5 linked regions of the Callithrix jacchus genome follow. The protein of the gene in region 1 binds, or shares a complex with, the protein of each later gene. Links are inferred from orthologs where the notes say so. Each region holds a gene or a part of one and is shown in the gene's direction. Other genes may lie near its edges.

Region 1 (4,691 bases):
GTGACTGAGCCCAGTGAAGGAAAATGTGTGCGGGCACACAACAGTCGAGCCTACTGTGGTGGTAAGGAGGAGACAGGTCTTCCCGGGAAAGTTGAAAGTGTGATCTAAAGCATGCATAGGAATTAATTACTCTAAAAATGTTAGTTGACTTTTGGCAAGCTGTAGCACCTTGAACCTTCCCTCCCTCCCCCGCTCCTGCCCACTAAGGTATATGCAGTAGAACTTGGAAGCTTCCTGAACCCCAGGCTCCTTATCTGTAAAGGAAAATAGCAATAATTGCTAAGCCACAGGTCAGGTAGGGGAGAACTGAGTTACAGAGGGTAACTACCATCATTCTTTTCTCATCCTTTAACTCGGGTTTCCACCCGTCCCCCACCTGCCCCGTCCCCCGTTCCTGGACTGACACCAGTCCCTGGCCTGTTAGGAACAGGGCCGCACAGCAGGAGGTGAGCAGCGGGCTAGCGAGCGTCACCGCCTCCTTTCAGGTCAGTGGCAGCCTTAGATTCTCATAGGAGCGTGAACCCTATTGTGAACTGCGCACGCGTGGGATCTAGGTTGCAGGCTCCTTATGAGAATCTAAGGAATGCCTGATGATCTGAGGTGGAACAGTTTCATCCCGAAACCGTTCTTGTCTTCCACGACAGCGGTCCCTGGTGCCAAAAAGGCTGGGGATCGCTGCTTTAAAGCACTGACCTTCGAGCAGCTCGCAGGTCCCCGGGGTGTAAGTGGTCTTCTTGGGGCGGCGCCGGAACCCCGTTGCTTTGGTCACTACTTCTATCTTCTGTGAAGCCATGCAAGGACCCTGAGGAGGGAAGGATGCAAAGACACACCCTCTGTCTCCTATCCCTAATTTCCTCTTCCCCACGCCCACCACCCTAGAAGTCTGGAAGCGGGGATCCAGCCAGAGAATCGTGATGCCGCCATTTAATATCGAGACAGTGCCCAAACCTCCCATCCGGACACAGACAGATACACACACAGAGTCCTCATTCTGACCCAGCGCCTGTGGCAGGGAAGTCCCCTCGGGAGGAAGGCAGTGTTAACATAGCCAGATCAGAACAGTACCCACTGAGAGATATGCCAAAATTGAAATTTCACCCTAAGACCTCCTCTGGGTGCTCCCTTCTCCACATAGAGGTGAGCTCTCGGAGGCGGTGACCACTGCTTTACAGCCGCAGCCGCACCGGTGCCACGTAGAAATCCTACGCGATCTGGGCTGCTAGAGCTGGCAACTAACAACTGTGGCTACCGTGGCTACCATGGTAACGCGCCCACGAGTCAACGCATGCGCCCTTTCTCTCTCGCGCCGTCCTGCCTCCCGGAAGTGATGCCTCTGGGTTACCGCGCAAGCGCAGGATAATCGTGGCGCCGCGCGAGTCGTAGTGGAGCCGTTTGCGGGTCTCCGCGCGGCACTGGGGAGCAGCGGCGTCGCAGAGACTAGGGTGTCATGTCAGACAACGAGGACAAGTGAGTGCGAGAGCCAAGTGGCCTTTGCGGCAACCTCAGAAGGGGCAGATGAGGCAAGGCGTGGGTCGAAGGCGGCTGAGGAGCCTGGCGTCGAGGGGCAACGTCTGAGGGGATTGGCGGCCTGAGGGGGCAGGCGGTGCCGGGGAAGGAAAGGGCGGGGACCCAGGAGCATCGGCCCGACCGGAGACCGGGCACGGGAAGCTCCTGGCTCGAGGGTCCGGATAGGATCCGTAGGAAAGGTGTCTTTCGGTGAGCCGGGCTCTGTGTCATGGGAATATTGAGGTGAATGAGGAATCGTCCCTGCCCTCCACGTGCTCGCTTTCTAGAACAGGGGGCACAGGCCCATAAGTAAGTAAACAGGTCATGGGAGTCGCGTGAGCTTCTCCAGTTCTAGAAGTATGTAATATAGGAGTTCTCCAGAGAAGGGTCTGGGGCAGCTCCACCGGTGGCATTAAATACAAGTCTGGAAGGGTTGGTTGCAGTAATCTTATTTTTATTTTTTTTTTAGACGGAGTCTTGCTCTGTCGCCCAGGCTCTGTAGTGCAGTGGCGCGATCTCAGCTCACTGCAGCCTCTGCCGCCCAGGTTCAAGGAGGGATTCTCTTGCCTCAGCCTCCCGAGTAGCTGGGATTACAGGCATGTGCCACCACATCTGGCTGTTTTGTTTTTAGCAGAGATGGGGTTTCACCATGCTGGCCAGACTGGTCTCGAACTCCTGACCTCAAGTGATCCACCCGTCTCAGCTTCCCAAAGTGCTGGGATTACAGGTGTGAGCCACTGTGCCCGGCCTGGTTGCAGTAATCTAGGTGAAAGTCAGTAGCTTGTGGTAGGGTGGTAGGAGCAGAGGTGGTGAGAAGTGGTTTTGAATTCTGGATATATTATTATTTTAAAAGTAGAGCCAAAAAAATTACCTGTTGGATGTGTGGGCACAAAGAGATTTAGTGTGAAGATAAAAATAAGAAACGTGTGGGATTGCTACAACATTCTCAGTGTCAGTAGAGAAAAGGAGATGACCCGTGGCTGAGCGTTCGGGCATTCAAACGTTGAGTGCTTGGAGGAAAAGAGAAGCCAGGGAGGTGGGGGAACACCAAGAGAGTGAGGTGTCGTTGGAGTCAAGTGAGGAGAGCGAGTGGCCTAATGTGTCAGCTGGTAGATCAGGCTAAATGAGATTGAGAATTGGCCATTGGATTTAGCAACGTGGAGATCATTAATGAACTTGGGAAGAGGGGTTTTGATGGAGCTCTTGGTGTGAAAGGCTTTTTGGAGTGGGATTATGACAGGATGGGAAGAGAGGAATTGTAGACAGTGAGGGACAGCTCTTTCACTTATTTTTGCTTCAAAGGGCACTATGGAATTAGGGCTGTAGGGGGAGGGAGAAGAGAAGGAAGGGTTTTTTTTTTTTTTTTTAGTTGAGGAAAAGCACATGTTGAAATACTGATGGGCCGAGTGGTGGCTCACACCTTTAATCCCAACACTTTGGGAGGCCAAGGAGGGTGGATCACCTGAGGTTAGGAGTTCAAGACCAGCTTGGTCAACATGGTGAAACCCTTTCGTTACTAAAAATACAAAAATTGGCCGGGTGCGGTGGCTCAAGCCTGTAATCCCAGCACTTTGGGAGGCTGAGGCAGGTGGATCACGAGGTCAAGAGATGGAGACCATCCTGGTCAACATGGTGAAACCCCGTCTCTACTAAAAATACAAAAAATTAGCTGGGCATGGTGGTGTATGCCTGTAATCCCAGCTACGCGGGGGGCTGAGGCAGGAGAATTGCCTGAACCCAGGAGGTGGAGGTTGCAGTGAGCCGAGATCGCACCATTACACTCCAGACTGGGTAACAAGAGCGAAACTCCGTCTCAAAACAAAAATTACCTGGGCATGGTGGTGTATGCCTGTAATCCCAGCTACGCGGGGGGCTGAGACAGGAGGATTGCTTGAACCCAGGAGGCGGAGGTTGCAGTGAGCCGAGATTGCGCCACTTCACTCCAGCTTGGGTGACAGAGTAAGACTCTGTCTTAAAAAAAAAATAAAAAAAAGGCTGATGAGAATGATCCAGTAGAGAGGCAAACAGCGATGATGAATGAGTCCTAACAAAATCTGGGGGCAGATGGGGAAAGATTGAAGGAGTAAAATGGAACAAAAGTCTGATTTACTTATTATTATTATTATTTTGAGAAGGAGTGTCACTCTGTTGCCCAAGTTGGAGTGCAATGGTGTGACCTCAGCTCATTGCAAGCTCTGCCTCCCAGGTTCAAGTGATTCTCGTGCCTCAGCCTCCTGAGTAGCTGGCATTACAGGCACCAACCACACCTGGCTCATTTTTGTTTTGTTTTGTTTTTTTTTTTTTGAGACGGAGTTTCGCTCTTGTTACCCAGGCTGGAGTGCAATGGCGAGATCTCGGCTCACTGCAACCTCCGCCTTCTGGGTTCAGGCAATTCTCCTGCCGCAGCCTCCTGAGTAGCTGGGATTACAGGCACCCGCCACTATGCCCAGCTAATTTTTTGTATTTTTTTAGTAGAGACGGGGTTTCACCATGTTGACCAGGATGGTCTCGATCTCTTGACTTCGTGATCCACCCACCTTGGCCTCCCAAAGTGCTGGGATTACAGGCTTGAGCTACCGCGCCCAGCCCATTTTTGGTATTTTTAGCAGAGATGGGATTTTTCCATGTTGGCTAGGCTGGTCTCGAACTCTTGACCTCAAGTGATCCACCTGCCTCAGCCTCCCAAAGTGCTGGGGTTATAGGTGTGAGCCACCATGCCCGGCTGATCCTTATTAAGTAGATATTTATTGAGTGCTTCCTATATAGTGGGCGAGACATATATCTTTGCACTTATTGATTTTTTTTTTTTTTTTTGAGACAGGTTCTTGTTCTTTTACCCAGGCTGGAGTGCAGTGGTACGATCTTGGGTCACTGCAACCTCCGCCTTCTGGGTTCAAACAATTCTCGTGCCTCAGCCTCCTGAGTAGCTGGTATTACAGGCATGGGCCACCATGCCCAGCTAATTTTTCTATTCTTAGTAGAGATGGGGTTTCACCATGTTGGCTAGGCTGGTCTCAAACTCCTGGCCTCAAGTGATCCACCCATTTCCATCCCCCAAAGTACCAAGATTACAGGTGTGAGCCACCATGGTCGGCCCCTCTTTGTTTCTGGTAAGTGATGCTCTAACTAACTGATTTATTCTTCCTGTACAGTTTTGATGGTGACGACTTTGATGACGTGGAAGA
Region 2 (4,569 bases), on another chromosome or scaffold:
AATAAATCACAAATGTTGATTGAATCACAATTTTACATTGCTAAGAACACTGATTTCCTGTGATTTTTTTTCTTTAAGTGTTCCAGACCATGCAGCTGTGCAGGTAACTGGAAGTAATTGTTAAGAGGGGAATGGATTTGGTGTGAAAATAAATCTCAAGGTTCATAGATATTCTCCACACCCATTGATAATCTCCCATTTTCTGCGTATTAAAGGCCCCTGCTTTCTCTAATCCCTTTCTTCAGGTGTTGGCAGGCTGCATTTTTTTTTTTTTTTTCTCTTTGGTAAGATGCCTTTGACATTCTTCAAATCTGGTTTCACCAGCAAAGAACTTTTCGTTTTGCTCTGTCTTTGGAAGACAAACTCCTTCACTCATCCAGATGACATTTCAGGTCCCTCAAAATTCCAGGGGCTCCGTTCTGCTTGTAATGTTGATATAAAGGCAGGATTTGTTTGGACAGAGGAGGTCAAAAGCTTATTGGATTGCACTTCAAGACACGGGCACAGCCGCCGTGCTCTCTTATAACTAGAGGCCAAGCGATTTGGGTCAAGGGCATGTGTTTCAATGTGATCAGTCACTACACGTTGGCCATGCGGAGTAGTGGGATTTTGGCAGTATTTTTTAAAACCAGGGAAAGTTATTGTGCTGTTATAATCCAAAGGCTGGTGGGGTTGTCTCCCCTACTCCCCGCACCGCATTTCCACCACCGTGACAAATTATTTAAAGTACGTGGGCTAGTAGGGAACTAATCTCTGGGTAACCTAAGTAAGCCTGGTCTTCGTAGCGGACCCAGTGTGGAAACAAACCAAGTCAGAGGTTAGTAACTCTGGAATGTGAAAGTGGGCCCCAATCGGCTTTTACTCCCATTGGGAAATTCTACATAATTCTGCCCGCGAAAGACCCACCCTCGGCGAGGAGCGAACGCTCCGAGGCTCACAGTCAAAGCCTCGCTGACAAATCAAGAGATGACTCCGCATTTAAAACCGTCCCGAATCGGAACCCGCCAGAGGCCGGAAGCCGCACCACGTGACCAGTTCTCCGCGGCCATTCCTAGCGAGGCAGTCGCTACCGCTTGTCTCATTTCCTAGCTCCTCCAGCGCGGGACCGGGCGGAAACGTGCGACAGGAGGCGGTCCCACCTAGCTTTGGACTGGAATGTCACTAGAACTCGCGCCTTTTCCAGAAACGCTTTGCAAGTACTTCACCGCAAAGAACTGCGGCAGACTTCCGCCTGGGTGCCAACCACGTGATCACGCGAGAGTTGGAGAGGCGTAGGTCCGACTTCACTACTTCACTACCCAAGCTCCGCCAGTCGAGCACCCCCACCGCGCGTGACGACGCGGCTCGCGGCGGCCTCCGCCCCGACGCGCCTGCGCACGCGGCTCTCGCGGTGTCTCGCGCTCAGCCCCGCCCACCTCTGCCCCCGCCCTTTCCACCCCTCCCTCCCCCATCACCCTGTCTCTCAGCGGCGGCGGCGGCGGCGGCGGTTCGCGCAGCTTGTTGGCTCGCTATATAAAGGAGAGAAGCGAGCGGACCGGACGGCTGGAGCTGCAGCCGGTGGCAGCAGCGGCGGCGCAGGGAGCGGTGACCGGTGGTGGTTTCCCTCCTTGGCGCGGGGTGGGGAGCGGGCAACGCCCCCGGACCCCTTAAGGGTCGTGGATTTTTTTTTAAAAAGACGATTCTCGAGGTTTTTAGCTGCGGGAGGAGTGCCCCCCTCCTCCTCCTCCTCCTCCTCTCCGCTCTCCCCTACTCCTTCAGGATTGATTTTGTTTAAGTTTTTTTCCCCAATCTTGCGGTGACTTGGGTCACCCTCGGGTGTTTTAGTATTTTTTTTTTTTGGTTTTGTTTTTATCTTGTTTTCTTGGGGTTGCCCCCTCTTGTTTGTGTTGTGTGTGGAAATGGCGAACTCGGCAAATACAAACACCGTGGTAAGGACGTGGTTCGGTGGCCGGCGGGGGCTTCGTTCAGGCGGCAGCAACGGCCGGACCGGGCGGGGGCGGGGACGGCGGCGACTCCCGGCCTCGACTCTTCAGCCGCCCGCGCGGCCGCCGCCGCTGCCGCCGCCGCTTCCCGCCTCGGGCGGATCGGGCCGGGGCGGCGGGCGGCGGGCGCGGGGGGGCGCCGAGGGCTCGCGGCTCGGGGAGGGCGGGGGCGCCGGCGGGGCCTGGGGCCGCCGCGGGCCGGGTCGGGCCGCGGAGGCGGTTGGGCCCGGGCGGGCGCGCAGCCCCGGCCCCAGAACCCGGCCCCCGGGAGGGAGGGCGTGAGGGGAGCCGCCGCTTCCCCCCGAGGGGCCCGTCCGCGCTGGCTAGACGATGGCTCCCCGAGCGGCTTAAGAACAAAAACCGTGTCTGGGGAATCGGGCGAACCCCTGAGACCCACCGTGATCCACTTTAATGCAGTGGAGGATTAATGGCTACTTTTGGGGGTTACTTAGGTTTTTTCCTGGCAGTTGTGCTTTGGGAACCTTCACTGGGGCCATTTTATGTTTAAAAAAAGGACTAAGGTTGTTTGAAAAGCACTTATCTCAGTTCCTTCCGAATGGGTAAAATGGCGAAGGGGAAGCAACCCCCCCCCCATCGTATCTTCGACTAGCAAAAGCACCAAAACAAACAAAAAAAGCCTACAGTGGTCCAAGTGTCCCTGCTTTCGCCTTGAAATTTGCCTACTTCTTCCCGTTGGTCCCTTTTTGGTTATTTGCGATCACGTAGGTTTGCAAAAAGCAGTCACATAAATAACCTTTTCAGTCACCAACGCAATGTGATCACTAGTCCCCCCAACTCTTATTTTTATATGACAATAAAACACGTTTTTGCCCGGTCCCAAATGCCGCAGACTAGCCCGCGGCCGCCCGACACCGTACCGTTGGCGACTCGGGTCGATCCATCATGGCTGCGGCCGCTTACCCTGCTTTTCAGTCCCTGAGCTTTGTGGTCCTCCTCCCTTTGGCTGCCCTGTTTATATAGAGCCATTGCCGCTCTCTAATATAGACTCTGCCAGGATGGGTAGGTGCTTTTCAGGCCTACGTCACCGCCTCTCCATTTAAACACCAGATCCGGCTTTAAATAGTGAGAGCTGCTGAGAGCGGGGCTGGGAGGTGCGTGCTCCCGAGGCGAGAGCCAGGCGCGTGCGGAGCTCAGTTTATTTGTAGGTCCTTTTTTCACGCTGTAATTTCGCGCCTGTCGGGGGCTGCTTTCAGAGCCCCAAGTTTTTGTTTTGTTCCTAGCAGCAGCTAGGAATTACCTTCTTTTGTTTGTTAGGGGAAATATATCCGAATCGCTGTCCGTTTTTATTTACAATTTTCAAAATATGAAAACAAAGAATTTTTGATCAGATAGTCTAGTGATTTTCCTGTGTGCATTATTTTCAGGAATTAAAAAAACTGCTTTCTACAAAGTGTTAGCTGCAGAGGACTTGGTTTTTGTTGTATTTTGTTCAAATATTCAGGAAACAGGTTAGAAATACAGCTCCTAATATTTCATTATGTTTTTCTATAGTAAATCTAAAAGACACGAGGCCTTTCAGAGAAATAGATAAGTGCCTGAAGCTTCAGAATAGGACCATTTATGTGTAGGGGAATCGTGAGTAATTAGAGGGAAGAGACTTAGTGCAAACTGGATTTTAAAAAACTGTTAAGTAGAACTTTATCGCCTTGGATATTATTAACACAGTATCCAGTATAAAAATTATTTCAATTTATTTTTCAGCATTGCATCAGGGAATTAACATTTTTGAAGGAAACCTCCTAAGAAATCACTTAATAATGCCACTAGTGGCCCTCTGATAAACCAGTTTTCAAGTTTGAAATACCTGTCTTTTTAAAAATCAGGACAAACCTAAACTATTTCGTGAGAAACGGAAACTTTGACTCAATAGAGTGAAGAATTTTAGGTACTAGTTTATAAATTGCTTATTTCAAATAATGCCTATGTGCCCACATAGTTTTCAAAAATTCGTGTCTTGAGTGCTTTTCAAATTGTGAACAATTCTAAATTATTCATTGGGCATATACTTTGTGAAGCATACACGTTTCCCTTCTTTAAACTATAGTGCTTATGAAGCTGTTAAGTGATCAAGTTGTGAGTTCATTAAGGCACAAAAATAAAATCTTAAAGAATGATTCATTAAGTAGAGGAGTACCAGAAGAAAGCAAATTTATACCTATATATCTCTGGATCTCCAAGCAAAAGGTTTTTAGAGGTAACTGATTTGAGGAACACCACACCATCTAGTTTACTGAAAAGCATTATGTATTGTCAATTTGAGATTTATGCTCCCAATTTAAAATACATTGCCCTTCTAATGCCTTGAGGAGTCATTATTGATTAAAAAACAAAACACTATAGAGATACTTTTGTAATTCAGCAGTTAAATTAATTTAGTTAAGATGATGTCCATAGTCACATATACTTTCCTTATATGTAGAAACAGAATGAATGTTAAAGCAGGGACGATAGAAATGTTCATTTTGCAGATGAGTAATTTAAGCTTCAAGAGGCAGATTGGGCGAAATAAAGAGGTTAGTGAGTGAGTGGAACAGTAAAGCAAGAACCCAGATATTTGAATTGGTTT
Region 3 (4,771 bases), on another chromosome or scaffold:
TAGATGGAAAAGAGGAGGAAGGCGCTGTGTTATGATTATTTGTGTTCAATGACAGGTGCAGTGATGAGAGGTGATGAGGTCACGAAGAGGGGGAGCCCACCAGAGCACAGGGCTTGTAGAGTGCATGAAGGAGTAGGTATTAGGAGGGAAGCTTCTTCAAGAGAAGGCTCCTCACCTGCTTCGCACCTGGGCAGGCTCCACATCAAAGTAGGGTCTCAGGATGTCGATGTTGGCATACAAGCTGAAGGCCCTGGAGGCTTGTCTCTTCCCAGCCTGCCACATCTGAAGGAAGATGGGCATAGGTATTGTGGAACTCTTGGCATTAGACCCTGTTGCCTATTTTCCATTTGATTTCTACCAGGACAACCTGGGGCGACACACCAATACCAACTCCAGGACATGGGACACACCTAGGTTTACTTTTCCACCTGCAGGGGATTCCATCTTGCTTACCTGATCAGCCACCTGCCGGCTCAGCTGTCCCTTAAAGCCCTTCATGCCCAGGAACTCTCCATCCTCTTCTTCAGCAGCAGCCGCATCAGCGTCTGCATCAGCGTCTACTTCTTCCTCGCGCAGGCGCTGATGCAGTTCACCCATATCCTCGAAGCTAGAGCCTGAGGTATCATCCATGTTCTCCATGTCAATCACAGCTGAGCCTCCGCCCTGTTAAGACAATGGCTCCTAGAGTGCAGGACTTTTCTGTTCCATCCATTAAGTCCTCTGCTCATCCCAGGGCTTAGGGCTTTGTTCTTCCACTGCTGAGGATACGGCTTGGAATCACTACAGATCATGCCACTCCATTCCCCCTCATTTGCTCTCAGAACGCTTGATTTATAGCTTTGGCTATCTTTTCTAGCCTGGGAAACCAACTAGTCTTCCATTCATGTCTTTCTCCTACCTTACCTATCAAAGACTAAAAGCTTGAAAAAGAATCCATTTCTGTCTTTCCAAAGCCCCAAACAAAACTATGAACACAGTATGTTTTCGGCGAGTGCCAGTGAATCCCACCCAACCCCACTCCAGGCCTGACCCCAACCAACCTCCTAACTTGTTCCAAGAATACGTTCTTCCTAACGCCTCGGGCGGGCCCAGAGACCCGAGATCCTCAGGCTGGAGTAGTAGACTAGTCTGGCCCTTTCAGGTCAATGTTAACTCCACTGACTTTTGTGTGCAAGACCCAAAGAAGGCAGTTTTGCAAATGGAGTGAACTTCCAGGCCCCGAGGGAGAATCCCCAAGACACTTCTGGACATCGCCGGCCCTCGGGTTGCTGGCATCTGGTGCCTTGGGGCCATTACCTGGATGTTTTCTTCGAACCCTCCCCATTCCGGGCCAGCTCCGTTTCGGGCGCCGCCCGTCGGCGCCGCTGTAGTTGCCATGCCCTTTGAGGGCTCCCGTCGCTGAAGCCCGCGATAGCCCCGCGCGCAGGGAAGTGTGCGAGATGTGAGTCCCAAGAAGGGAGAGGTCCCAGGTCGCGGAGAGGTGGGATCAGCCGGAACACAAAAAGGAGAAACCCGGATGTTTGGACAAAACCAACTTCCGGAAATTGGGGACGTGGATGAAGGTGGAGCAAAGTCTCGCGATATTTAAGATTCCAGGAGGCGGTGCGTTGCCACGGAGATGGAGCAGTGCTGCTAGAACGCACGCGCCAGCTAGAGCCTGTAGTCTTTTGGAGAGATTGAACATGGCGGCTACTCAGGCCGTGGAAGAAATGCGGAGCCGCGTGGTTCTAGGAGAGTTTGGGGTTCGCAATGTAAGACTTGTGTCCTTGAGCTCAGGCGGGAGGAATGAGAGCGGAACAGGGATGGGTCTTGGGATTGGCGTGGGGATAGCCGTAGGCTCACTGTCCATTTGTGGACAAACTCATCCCTTTGCTCTAGGTCCATACCACTGACTTTCCCGGTAACTATTCCGGTTATGATGATGCCTGGGACCAGGAACGCTTCGAGAAGGTCAGTGGGGCCAGAGTTGTCCGGGGATTGTTAGGAGGGCCAGACCCTGTGGTCTCAGCAGCATGTGTCTGTCTCAGTAGCTGCTCTTGGGGGTCGCTCCGTTTGTAAGTTTTGTTGAGCAATGTGGTAGACCTCCGTTTACAGGCCAAGTTAGACACAGTTTCTACCCAGTTCTGCAAACAAGATGTTCAGTCTTGTTGAGGAATGGTGCGTATAAACAAGTGAATCTAGTTTAATATGGTAAAGGTGGTTGATAGCTGTGAAGATGGCAGGATTCGTGTGGGGAACATTATGCTGAGACCAGGAAGAGGGGCCCAGAGGTACTTAACATTTCTTGAGGAGGGAAGATCTGAATTGAGCTTTGAACGGTAAGTAAAGAACAGGAGTTAAATTAGGAAGGCTTTGAGTTTCAGGTCAGTGAAGTTGAGGATATACAGGTTTTGTGTGTATTTAGTCTATTATTGTTTCACTTAGCTTAAAATAAGGATTAAAATTGCATTTAAATAGATCACTGAATGTTACTGTTTATGCAACTGAACTGTGTGTGCAGTTTATAAAACATGATCTATAAATCTGTGCTTGGGAAAATTTTACTTTTTTTAACCTGTTGATACAGGAATAAAGTATGAACAATGAAAAAGGCTAATGCTTGAAAAAAAGTTATGGTGTGAATTGTGCTCCGGGAATGTCCAAGCAGTTCTGGCACTAGTGGTAGGCAAGATTGAAGTGTGTCTTGGGCACTGTTGATGATAGGGAGCTTGAATAGTTAAGCAGACATGATTAGATTTGCAACCCTGATAGCTGGGAGGGAATGAGTTTGAAGAGGATCGTATGGAGCAGGCAGATCTGTTGTAAGGGAAGCTGAGGTTGAAGGTATGAACTAAGACTGACGGTAGAAAGAGAGCAAAGGAAGAAAGAAGGTAAATTTGTGATTGCTTTGGTAAAGGCTGTTGGGGTAGCATAAAATGACTTTTTGACTTGGGAACTGCTTTGATGCATTGTGGTATCATTTACTGAGAGAAGAAATGGGTCTGGGGAAGAGGAATGATGATACGTCGTTTCCTGCATTTGGAGAAATCTAGCAGGCTAGAAGACTGCATATTTGAAATGAGATCAGAAGGGAGGTAAAATTTTGGGAGGTGTCAGCACAGATAGTTGCTAAAACCGTTGTTAGTGTGGTTAAGGTCACCTGGGAGAGAGACCAGAACCTGGTAGATTTAGAGATGGGTGGACGTTGTTGATCATCAGAGAAGGAAGAATGGAGCTCAGAAGCCAGGAGAATAGTTCAAAAAAGGAGGGGATTTTTTTTTTTTTTTTTTGAGATGGAGTCTCTGTTGCTCAGGCTGGAGTGCAGTGGCAGGATATCAGCTCACTGCAACCTCTGCCTCTTGGATTCAGGCAGCTCTCCTGTCTCAGCCTCCTGAGTAGCTGGTATTACAGGTGCACACCACCATGGCCGGCTAGTTTTTTGTATTTCTAGTAAAGATGAGGTTTCACCATGCCAGTCTCGAACTCCTGACCTCGTGATCCAACCACCTTGGCCTTCCAAAATGCTGGGATTACAGGCATGAGCCATTGCGCCTTTCCAGGAGGGGATTTTTTTAATCAATGCCAGGCGTAACAGACGTCTAGTAAAAGGACTGTCTAGTGTCAGCATGACTAAGCAGTGAGGTGGGTTTCTGTTCTTAGGACAATAGCTTCTGTGGATGGTTTGGTTGGGAGCCATATTGGATAGGGTTTTAATGAATGGAAGACAAAAAATGGACACTTTTCATGAACCTAAAGCAAGCACTGGACGAGAAAGAACATTTAATAAGGGACGTCTGGGCAAAGGGTGGTTTTTGGATGAGTGGATAATACTTGGAATCATCTGAGGGGGAGGTATGAAGAGCTATTACAAAGAGAGCAGGCTTCACTTAATCTTTTTCCTGTCCCTCTAGAATTTCCGTGTGGATGTGGTACACATGGATGAAAACTCACTGGAGTTTGACATGGTGGGAATTGATGCATCCATTGCCAATGCTTTTCGACGAATTCTGTTAGCTGAGGTATTGGCAGGCATGGTGACAAGGTTGGATTTGCTTTGGGAACTGCACTGACACTTGGAGTGTCACTTGGAGAATTAAGTGTCTCAAGCTGTCCTTCCCTTCTTATTTTTCCTGGAGTTTTGCTGGCTAAGGATTTTACCTTCTCATTCTTTGTAAACTTCTCATTAAACATTCTAGGAAGAGAGATAGCTCCCTACCTCTGGAGGTTGGAGTTTGTGGGGATAGGTAGGGGGTCTATTGGGTTTTTGCTGATAAGTGATTTTTTCCTTGGGCAGGTGCCAACTATGGCTGTGGAGAAGGTCCTGGTGTACAACAACACATCTATTGTTCAGGATGAGATCCTTGCTCACCGTCTGGGGCTCATTCCCATTCATGCTGACCCCCGTCTTTTTGAGTATCGGAACCAAGGTGAGAAAATGAAATTTTGGGAGAAGTGGACTGTCTGGGTTTAAATCCTGGTTGACTGTGACATTGGGTAAGTATATTAGTGTTTTTCATCTGTGAGAACACTTGCCCTCTCTTCCCAAGTTTGCCAAGATAATTAAATGGGAAATATGTAAAGCATTCAGCATAGTGCTGGCACTCAGATATTTACTAGTTCTTAAGAGCTCTCTCCATTGGTGCAGGAGATGAAGAAGGCACAGAGATAGATACTCTACAGTTTCGTCTTCAAGTCAGATGTACTCGGAACCCCCATGCTGCTAAAGATTCCTCTGACCCCAACGAACTGTACATGAACCACAAAGGTAAGTAGTGGTAGAGTGAGGAAGAGG
Region 4 (4,768 bases), on another chromosome or scaffold:
AAAGAACTAAGATCACCTATGAATAACTAAGATCACCTATGAATAACAACTATTGTTATATTCCTTTTTTTTTTTTTTGAGACAGAGTTTCGCTCTTGTTACCCAGGCTGGAGTGCAATGGCGCGATCTTGGCTCACCGCAACCTCCGCCTCCTGGGTTCAGGCAATTCTGCCTCAGCCTCCCGAGTAGCTGGGATTACAGGCACGCGCCACCATGCCCAGCTAATTTTTTGTATTTTTAGTAGAGACGGGGTTTCACCCTGTTGACCAGGATGGTCTCGATCTCTTGACCTCGTGATCCACCCGCCTCGGCCTCCCAAAGTGCTGGGATTACAGGCGTGAGCCACGCGCCCGGCCGGGAATATAAATTAATGACATTTCTGAGGCTTCTGACTCCCCAGAACTTATGGGGTCTACCCCCTACACTAACCCACTACAGGAATTAAAAAGTTTACACCCCAGACTACTTCTGCCTCTCTCACTCCTACATTCCGAGGAGTTGGCAGTTCTTGACATTTAGTGGATGAGGAATAAATGAAACCAGACATGTCTTGTTCCCCTTCCCTCTGCGTAGCCTACAACTCCTATGCATCCCTCAGTGGCCAACTGAAACCTCCCGTCTTCTCTGAGCCCTCAGAGCCCCGCTGTGCTTCTCCTGCTCCTTCCTGGGTTGTAGATTCCCATTTTATGAGTCTCCGCCACGACACTGTAACCCGCAGAGGACAGAGAGCTGGTTTGATATATTCACCTGGCGGAGCCCGGAACCCAGCAGCGTGCTTGAGTATTTCCGAACTAGAGCAATGAATGGTTGTGCTGTGAGCATGCGCAATTGTGTTACTGCCAGGCTTGAGGGGTGTGTGCACGCCTGGAATGGGGTAGGGGAACTTGCACCTCCCTCCCGTCCTCTGCAGCCTCCTTCCCTTCCCCCCAGTAAGCCAGCCAGCCACCCCCACGACGTTACTCTTCTCCGGGGGCCTCAGAGCCCTGCCCATTTGGGGCAGCTTGGACTTGCAGAGACCCATCCCGCCAGCAGCCCTTGGGGTGGTCGCGCCCCGATTCCGGGCAGGCTCTGACCCCTCCTGGCTCGGCTCAACGTCACAAGGGTCCCCGCTCCGGTCATTTTGCGGGAATGACGGGGTCCACCCCTTCTGGGCAGGTAGAGGAAACGAACCCCAAACAGGCCCATAGGGAGCCAAGCGGCAGTTCGACTGGACCCGAGTAGGCCTCAGTTGCTATGGTGACGCGGCCTTCCAAGCCCCAAAGTCCCGAGCGGCATGACGCATGCGCAAAGCGCCTGGGAGCCCGCAAGGAGGACTAGCTTCCTTCTTCCCACCCAGGATGCCCTGCGGTCCTTGGGTGCTGACGTCACGAAGGAGGGCGGTCCCACATTTGATGACCGCACTGTACATAGGAGCATCAGCGACCAAGGCCGGTTATTTGATCTCAGACTCGGCCTTGTTGCGTCTGAAAAGGGGCAGGGGTGGCTCTTTTGAGGTGGCCATAGACGCCGAGGAACATAAGTGACGGCGCATTGAGGTAGCCACAGCCGCTTAGAAGGTTGCCATCGCGACGCGGCCGCTGGAGGGTTTAGCTTCCGGGTTAGGCGGCCGCGGAGGCGTAGACGGAATAACCTGAACGCCTCTTCCGGTTACCCTTTCCCAGTGCCAGAGGCGCCTAGGGTAGGAATCCTCACACGGGGACCGGAACAGAGACCCGACAAGGAACGGCGGCTTCCCCGAGATCGAGGGACGCGCTAGCCAGAGGAGAAGAAAGGAACCCGGGTCGGACCACGGAACCACTGACCATTGCCCATGGCGGCCCTAGTGAGTGTGGATTTGGCGGGGTTCGGGGGTCCCGGCGGCGACCTCGGCGGCACCTTACTCACCGTCCGCTTCCTCTTTCCGCAGGGCCCCAGCAGCCAGAATGTCACTGAATACGTCGTTCGAGTTCCGAAGTAAATCCCCTACCCCATCTCCCACTCCTCTCCACCCCGCAAAAGTGAAAACCTTTACGGTCCTCTTAGCCTGACGTTTCTGGCCCTGTCTGTGGTTCTCCCTCCAGACCGGGGGACTTGGAGGGCAGGGCTGCGATTAAGCTGAGGCTTCTCTGGAGGCAAACACTGCTTTTTGTATGAATGAGTGCATTAATACACAGCACGATTCAGCCTCCTGGCCTAACGTTCGAGAGCATATGATGCCCAGGCTGTCTCGTCCTCTTTCAAAGCGAGCAGGCTGCCTTTCCTTTCCAGGCCTTTGTACATCCCGTTCCCTCTGCCATGAGTGCCTCCCCTCAGCCCCCAAACGGTGACTCTGTTGGGTGAATTCTTGTTGATTCTGCAAAACTCAGCTCCAGTATCATCTTCCTCCAGGAAGCACTCCCTGACTGACCTCCCTCCTCCCCAAGGCTGAGTTCCCAATAATCTCCACATCTTGGGTTTCTCCCAATCTTTGTTCCTCCATTTGTTCTTCGTCTGCACGCAGTTAAGAGGGGATGGGGTCTAGCTTCTCTGGCAGACTGGGATTCCTGCAGTCTTCCGTATCCAGTGTTGACAGGCAAAACAGACTGAATGAACCAGGGTGGGTTTGTTGAGTGACTGAATTAATGATTCAGTGGAATGGAATGCTTGAATTAATGGTTCAGTTGAATGGAACGATCGAATTAATGATTTGATTGAATTAATGATGTGTTCACATTGATTGATTAAATTAATGATTGAATTGAATTGATGTATTGGATTGGCTCTATCTCTTCTAATCCACTCTAGGAATACAACCAAAAAATATAACATCATGGCTTTTAATGCAGCTGATAAAGTCAACTTTGCCACGTGGAATCAGGTAAGTCCCTGGGTCCTGGGGGTCGGGGGCTGGGGTGGTGAGAGAACCTGACCCTGACCTTGGTGGTTGTAATAGTTGCTTAGCTGTCATAGTAACTAAGTCTTAATTTTCTCACTTTTCCCAAGTGGAGATAAGGTAGATGACAAAGAGTTGGGTGCAGTAGTTTGTACCTGTAATCTTAGCACTTGGGAGGCCAAGGCAGGAGGCTTGCCTAAGGCCAGGAGTTCAAGACCAGCCTGGGCAATATAGCAAGACCCTATCTCTACCAAAAATAAAATAATTAGCTGGATGTGGTAGTGTGCATCTGTAGTCCTGCACAGGAGGCTGAGGTAGGAGGATCACTTGACCCCAGGAGTTGAAGGCTGCAGTGAGCTATGATTACACTACTGCACTCCAGCCTGGTGACAGAGTAAGACCTGTCTCAAAAAAAAAAAAAAAAAAAAAAAAAGATGGCAAAGGCCCAGGCCAAGCTCCTGGGTGTCCCTGTAAGTTACGTTTAGTAGGACCACAGGAGGCCATTCCTTAATGGAGAACATTTAGAAGTTGTGCCCACTGATGGCCATTTTTGCCAAGGTTTATCTGGCTGAGGGAGGGGACTGGGCTAGGGCCTTCCCCAGAGCCCCTGCCATCAGAGGCTCTAGAAAGGACTGTGGGAGCCATTAAAGCATCCTCCACGGGGAAGTTGTATTGTGATCTGGCTGCTGTGGGGAGGCAAACTGTGGGTTTGAGGGCGGATAAAGGGAGAACAGGGTGGAAGCAACTGGGCTGACTGGTCTAGGTGAGTCCTGGCCTGGGGATGTGGAGGCCGTGAAGGTGATGAGATGTGGCTGGATTCTAGAGTGTTTTGGAAATGGTACATATGGACCTTGAAGCAAGAGCTTAAGGGTAATTGGGACCTTATTGGCCACATAGGTCATGATTAATGGTTACATTTTAGAGATTTTGGTGTCTTACTGTCAACAAGTTTGGCACAATGAATTTCTTTTTATTTATTTAAATTTATTTTTTTGTGATGGTGTTTCACTTTTGTTGCCCAGGATGGAGTGCAATGGCACGACCTCAGCTCACTGCAACCTTCAACTCCCAGGTTCAAGCCATTCTCTTGCCTTAGTCTCTCATGTAGCTGGGATTACAGGTGCCCACCCCCACTCCCACCTAATTTTTGTATTTTTGGTAGAGATGGGGTTACACCATGTTGGTCAGACTGGTCTCGAACTCCTGACCTCAGGTGATCCACCCACCTTGGCCTCTGAAAGTGCTGGGATTACAGGTGTGAGCCACTGTGCCTGACCTTTTTATTTTCTTTCTTTCTTTTTTTCTTTTTTTTTTTGAGACGGAGTTTTGCTCTTGTTACCCAGGCTGGAGTGCAGCGCGATCTCGGCTCACCGCAACCTCCGCCTCCTGGGTTCAGGCAATTCTCCTGCCTCAGCCTCATGAGTAGCTGGGATTACAGGCACGTGCCACCGTGCCCAGCTAATTTTTTGCATTTTTAGTAGAGACGGGGTTTCACCATGTTGACCAGGATGGTCTCAATCTCTTGACCTCGTGATCCACCCGCCTCGGCCTCCCAAAGTGCTGGGATTACAGGCTTGAGCCACCGCGCCCGGTCGCTTTATTTTCTTTCTTTATTTTTTTGAGATGGAGTCTTGCTCTGTTGCCCAGGCTAGAGTGAAGTGGTGTGATCTGTGCTCACTGCAACCTCTGCCTCCTGGGTTCAAGCAATTCTCCTGCCTCAGCCTCCTGAGTAGCTGGGATTACAAATGTGTGCCACCACACCCAGCTAATTTTTGTATTTTTAGTAGAGACAAGGTTTCACCATGTTGGTTAGGCTGGTCTTGAACTCCTGACCTCATTATCTGTCTGCCTCAGCCTAATAGAGGTAGGGTCTCACTATATTGCCCAGGCTGGTCTTTTTTTAAATGTTTTTTAAAG
Region 5 (4,634 bases), on another chromosome or scaffold:
CACTTTGGGAGGCTGAGGCAGGTGGATCACCTGAGGTCAGGAGTTGAGACCACCAGTCTGGCCAACATGGTGAAAACCCATCTCTACTAAAAATACAAAAATCAGCTGGGTGTGGTGGTGCATGCCTGTAGTCCCAGCTACTCAGGAGGCTGAGGCAGGAGAATAGCTTGAACCCTGGAGGCCGAGGTTGCATTGAGCCCAGATTGTGCCACTGCATTCCAGCCTGGGCAACAGAGTGAGAGACTCCTTTTCAGAGAGAGAGAGAGAGAGTGAGAGAAAGATGGGGGTCTCACCCTGTCGCCTAGGCTGGCGCAATCATAGCTCACTGTAGCCTCCAGCTCCTAGTCTCAGGTGATCCTCCCGCCTCAGCCTCCCGAGTAGCTGAGTAGTCATGACTCTGAGCCACCTCACCAGGCTGCAGGCCAATTCTTAATCTTGCCAGGCTCCGGTCTTCCAGTCTATAAAGTGGGAATAATGGAATTTGCTTATAGAAATTTGGGGAAATGTGTAGTTCTGGCTTTGGGTGAAGACCTCTGTCTTTCTCTGTAGCAGGTTCATAAATCAAATCAGAGCAAACAGCTGATGTCTTAAAAACTGTATTTATCAGGGTCTTCTAAGAAAACGGTTTTAGGCATGGTAGAGGCAGAAATTAAGAATTATTGAGTATTTAGGGCCAAGTAAGGCGCACTGGATGGTGTTGTTAACTTGTGGAAACCGTCCAGAATGTGTATACTTTCTTCTCTTTCTCTTTCTTTCTTTCTTTCTTTTTCTTTCTTTCTCTTTCTTTCTTTCTTTCTTTTCTTTCTTTCTTTCTTCTTTTTTTTTGACTTTAGCTTTTGTCGCCCAGACTGGAGTGTAATGGCACGATTTCGGCTCACTGCAACCTCCGCCTCTAAGGTTCAAGCGATTCTCCTGCCTCAGCTTCCTGAGTAGCTGGGATTAAAGGCGCCCGCCACCACACCCGGCTAATTTTTGTATTTTTAGTAAAGACAGACTTTCACAATGTTGTAAAGGCTGGTCTCGAACTCCTGACCTCGGGTGATTTGCCTGTCTCGGCCTCCCAAAGTGCTGGGATTACAGGCGTGAGTCACCGCGCCCGTCCCGGAGTGTGTATTATCTCAATTTTACGGGGAGTAATTGTGCTCACGGAATCCAGTTTTGTGGCCCCTACCCCCTAAACGGCTCACCACTAAGTCGCCATGGCGCGCCTCCGCCAAGAAGCCCTCCAGGAACTTCTATTTTCCCCGGACCCGCCTCCTGTTCAGGCCGGTTAGACGCGCCGTTAGCAGCGTGGGCGGAGTTGCTTCTGCCTTCGCGGAACCAACTGGCCTGACTTCTGGTATCTCCCGCTCTCTAAATTAAAAGCCAGCTCCTCTCCTTTTGGCTTCCCAACGGTGCCTTTCGGGATTTGTAGTCAGACGCGCTTCAGCCGGCTCCAAGGAGAGCAAAGACAAGACTCCAATTCCCAGCATACCCCGCGCCGGGAGAGTGCAGCGCCTATTCTCATCCTCTTCACTCTTCCACTCCTTCCCTTACCTCCCTTCTCTTCTGAATTCTCCATTCTAGGCTCTTGTCTGTGAAATCTTTTGTCGCTTTCCCCATCTTTCCCTGGCATTTTTTTTTTTAACCATCTTTCCCTCAATCTCCGGGAGCCAATGAGAGACTTTGGCTCCGATTAAGCGACTGCCCGAGACTCGGGGTGCACGAGGAGGATGGACAGAGTGGTGAGGGGACCTAGGAGGGTGGGAGTGGCATAGCTGTGAGAGAGAGAGAGGTGAGTGAGAGGCGAGGTGTGGGAGGAAGGCAGGGAGAATCTAGGAGATCGGAAGGCGTGGGTCAGCGTGAATGGGAAGGGAAAAGAGGTGACTTCAGATTTGGGAAGCGTGAAGGGGAGAGGTTATCGTCATAGCAGAAGTGGGCTAAGAGATAGACGATAGGGAGGACGGGCAGATTTGGAGCTTATTGACTGATCTGGACCAGGAGAGATGGAAGAGAGAGGTGTGGGCTCAATTTTCTTTGTCCCTGTTTAGCCAAAGATGAGACAAGTCATTGAATACAAAATTATCTTGCAAACATAGGACAGTTAGCAAGTCTGTCACTTGGTAATTGAGGGAAGACTGGAGTTGAAGGGCAGAAGTAGGGTGAGGAGACCAGAAACGGAGAGAGATTGGTCAGATTTGGAAGAAACTAGAGATAAGTGACAGGGGAAAGTAAGCCACAGAAAAGGTGGGATTATTGTGGGGGCTCATGGATCTGGAATCAGAGTTAGAAAGGTCAGGGGTGACACTGGCATGGATGGTGGGGGTGTGCCTCTGACGTTTGCATTCCTCAGGTGATGGAGAGCACCCCTTCAAGGGGACTGAACCGAGTACACCTACAATGCAGGAATTTACAAGAATTCTTAGGGGGCCTGAGCCCTGGGGTATTGGACCGATTGTATGGGCACCCTGCCACTTGTCTGGCTGTCTTCAGGTGAGGAGCCCCATGGCAAGGAAATGTAATGGGGTCTGCAGATTGGAAATAAATATCATGAGTAAAAGCATAGCAGTCTGGATTGGGGGTGGGGACTGGGGGTGAGGGTTGAAAATTGCTCCAAAGTGTGGAAGGCCAAAATAGCAGGACTGGTAAAGCTGTGGTGGAGTGAGATGAGATGTTTGAGAGGTAATTGAGGGCAGAGATGCAGATACAGTGCAGCTTCTGAAATTAACCTTTGACCTCTATCCCTATACAGGGAGCTCCCATCCTTGGCTAAGAACTGGGTGATGCGGATGCTCTTTCTGGAGCAGCCTTTGCCACAAGCTGCTGTAGCCCTGTGGGTGAAGAAGGAATTCAGCAAGTAAGTCTCAGCCAGATACAGATTTCTCAACAGCAACATTTCCCAAACTGCTGTTTCTTGGAGCACTTCCAGGAAATATTAATAGATCACAAAATTTAAAAATAAATACATTTAGGAAATGCTGCATACTGCGTTTTCCCTTTTATTTATTTCCCAGCTGACTTCTTGTTTTCAAATGTATCTTCCCTCTTAGTTATGTGTGTTATCAGCAATGAGGCTCTGATAGGTAATGCAGTAAAGGCATTTGTCTTAAGATACTGATTTCACTCTGTGAAACAGTAGTTCAAAGATCAGCAAGTTCAGAACAGGCAGGAATGGTAACTTTTATGGGCCTTCTCTTTGTTCTCCAGACACCCCCTCTCATCTCTTTGCTTCTATTCCAGGGCTCAGGAGGAAAGTACAGGGCTGCTGAGTGGCCTCCGGATCTGGCACACCCAGCTGCTCCCAGGCGGGCTCCAGGGCCTTATCCTCAACCCCATTTTCCGTCAGAACCTCCGCATTGCCCTTCTGGGTGGGTATGTCACTTCTATCTCTTCCTAAGCTAGGGAAGGGAAACTGCTGCTAATTAAACTGCTATTAAACTTTGGGAGGGGGAGCTTATGGGGGCCTCCCTGGAACCTTGTGGTCTCTACCTTGGGGAGCTCCTTTAGGAATAAGTTGGACCAGATGTAGCTGTGTTGTGTAGGCAATGTCCCCCAGTCATGGCCCCTGAGGATAAGGGTGGAAAGATGGCAGAAGGACAGCAAGGAACACAGACAGAGTTCCTTACTCTTTTTTTGTTTTGTTTTGTTTCTTTTTGAGATAGAGTCTTGCTCTGTCACCCAGGCTGGAGTGCAGTGTCACAATCTTGGCTCACTGCAATCTCCACCTTCTGGGTTCAAGATATTCTCCTGCCTCAGCCTCCTGAGTAGCTGGGATTACAGGCACCCACCACCATGCCTGGCTAATTTTTTGTATTTTTAGTAGAGATGGGGCTTCACCATGTTGGCCAGGCTGGTCTCGAACTCCTGACCTCAGTGATCTGCCTCCTCGGCCTCCCAAAGTACATGGATTACAGGTGTGAGCCACCGTGCCTGGTCAGAGGTCCTTACTCTTGGCCCATCCTGGCTCTAGGGGGAAGGCCTGGTCTGATGACACAAGTCAGCTGGGACCAGACAAGCATGCCCGGGATGTTCCCTCCCTTGACAAGTACGCTGAAGAGCGATGGGAGGTAAGCACTTGGGACTTAGCTTCTACCTCCTATGGCCCTCGGGGCATGGTCTCCCTGTTCTTTCTGTTCTTCAGGTGGTCTTGCACTTCATGGTGGGCTCCCCCAGTGCAGCTGTTAGCCAGGACTTGGCTCAGCTCCTCAGCCAAGCTGGGCTCATGAAGAGGTAAGGAAGTTAGAGGTACAGCAGTTTGCTGCTGTGCCATCTCCTTGAGTCTCTGAGAAATGGTATCTCGGGTTGGTCAAGATCAGAGGACATCGTCTGGAAAAAGCAAGCTGAGTAGAATATAGCCAGAGATACCCAGAAAAAACATGAGTGGACAAGTGGGTATAGTAGCCTTTCTCTGCATATCACCATCATCGTCCTGCTCTTTGTCCTTAGTGCTGAACCTGGAGAGCCACCCTGCATTACTTCTGCTGGCTTCCAGTTCCTGTTGCTGGACACCCCAGCCCAGCTCTGGTACTTTATGTTGCAGTATCTGCAGACAGCCCAGGTGAGGAGGTGGGGGGCGCTTGCCAGCATGTTCTGCTCCTCTCAGGTCTCACTGAGAGACTCCTGCCTATGAATTTTCCCTAATTTTCTTTTCTCTG

What was found. Proteins that work in one complex are often made in the same cells at the same time.
Region 2: POLR2F (region 1) and GTF2A1 share a complex: the UniProt entries of both Homo sapiens proteins name them as parts of the TBP-based Pol II pre-initiation complex. The link is inferred for Callithrix jacchus from reciprocal best matches to the Homo sapiens genes POLR2F and GTF2A1.
Region 3: POLR2F (region 1) and POLR1C share a complex: the UniProt entries of both Homo sapiens proteins name them as parts of the pol I pre-initiation complex. The link is inferred for Callithrix jacchus from reciprocal best matches to the Homo sapiens genes POLR2F and POLR1C.
Region 4: POLR2F (region 1) and GTF2F1 share a complex: the UniProt entries of both Homo sapiens proteins name them as parts of the TBP-based Pol II pre-initiation complex. The link is inferred for Callithrix jacchus from reciprocal best matches to the Homo sapiens genes POLR2F and GTF2F1.
Region 5: POLR2F (region 1) and GTF2H4 share a complex: the UniProt entries of both Homo sapiens proteins name them as parts of the TBP-based Pol II pre-initiation complex. The link is inferred for Callithrix jacchus from reciprocal best matches to the Homo sapiens genes POLR2F and GTF2H4.

The regions. Positions count from the first base shown.
Region 1 is NC_133502.1:208,954,771-208,959,461, forward strand, and holds the start of POLR2F (DNA-directed RNA polymerases I, II, and III subunit RPABC2), read left to right. Parts: upstream 1-1,598; 5' UTR 1,599-1,753; coding exon 1,754-1,815; intron 1,816-4,658; coding exon 4,659-4,691. Other genes in the region: C1H22orf23 (UPF0193 protein EVG1), read right to left, coding at 694-793. UniProt on the Homo sapiens protein: DNA-dependent RNA polymerase catalyzes the transcription of DNA into RNA using the four ribonucleoside triphosphates as substrates.
Region 2 is NC_133509.1:116,181,959-116,186,527, reverse strand, and holds the start of GTF2A1 (transcription initiation factor IIA subunit 1), read left to right. Parts: upstream 1-1,457; 5' UTR 1,458-1,898; coding exon 1,899-1,928; intron 1,929-2,860; exon of another isoform or gene 2,861-2,934; intron 2,935-3,704; exon of another isoform or gene 3,705-3,888; intron 3,889-4,569. UniProt on the Homo sapiens protein: TFIIA is a component of the transcription machinery of RNA polymerase II and plays an important role in transcriptional activation. TFIIA in a complex with TBP mediates transcriptional activity.
Region 3 is NC_133505.1:51,998,283-52,003,053, forward strand, and holds the start of POLR1C (DNA-directed RNA polymerases I and III subunit RPAC1), read left to right. Parts: upstream 1-1,659; 5' UTR 1,660-1,682; coding exon 1,683-1,751; intron 1,752-1,878; coding exon 1,879-1,950; intron 1,951-3,890; coding exon 3,891-3,998; intron 3,999-4,273; coding exon 4,274-4,406; intron 4,407-4,624; coding exon 4,625-4,744; intron 4,745-4,771. Other genes in the region: protein YIPF3, read right to left, coding at 176-282, 454-663, 1,297-1,377. UniProt on the Homo sapiens protein: DNA-dependent RNA polymerase catalyzes the transcription of DNA into RNA using the four ribonucleoside triphosphates as substrates.
Region 4 is NC_133523.1:6,030,891-6,035,658, reverse strand, and holds the start of GTF2F1 (general transcription factor IIF subunit 1), read left to right. Parts: upstream 1-1,656; 5' UTR 1,657-1,810; coding exon 1,811-1,822; intron 1,823-1,906; coding exon 1,907-1,953; intron 1,954-2,763; coding exon 2,764-2,836; intron 2,837-4,768. UniProt on the Homo sapiens protein: TFIIF is a general transcription initiation factor that binds to RNA polymerase II and helps to recruit it to the initiation complex in collaboration with TFIIB. It promotes transcription elongation.
Region 5 is NC_133505.1:35,701,870-35,706,503, forward strand, and holds the start of GTF2H4 (general transcription factor IIH subunit 4), read left to right. Parts: upstream 1-1,522; 5' UTR 1,523-1,712; coding exon 1,713-1,724; exon of another isoform or gene 1,725-1,862; intron 1,863-2,332; coding exon 2,333-2,472; intron 2,473-2,731; coding exon 2,732-2,836; intron 2,837-3,219; coding exon 3,220-3,351; intron 3,352-3,949; coding exon 3,950-4,046; intron 4,047-4,120; coding exon 4,121-4,209; intron 4,210-4,425; coding exon 4,426-4,537; intron 4,538-4,634. UniProt on the Homo sapiens protein: Component of the general transcription and DNA repair factor IIH (TFIIH) core complex, which is involved in general and transcription-coupled nucleotide excision repair (NER) of damaged DNA and, when complexed to CAK, in RNA transcription by RNA polymerase II.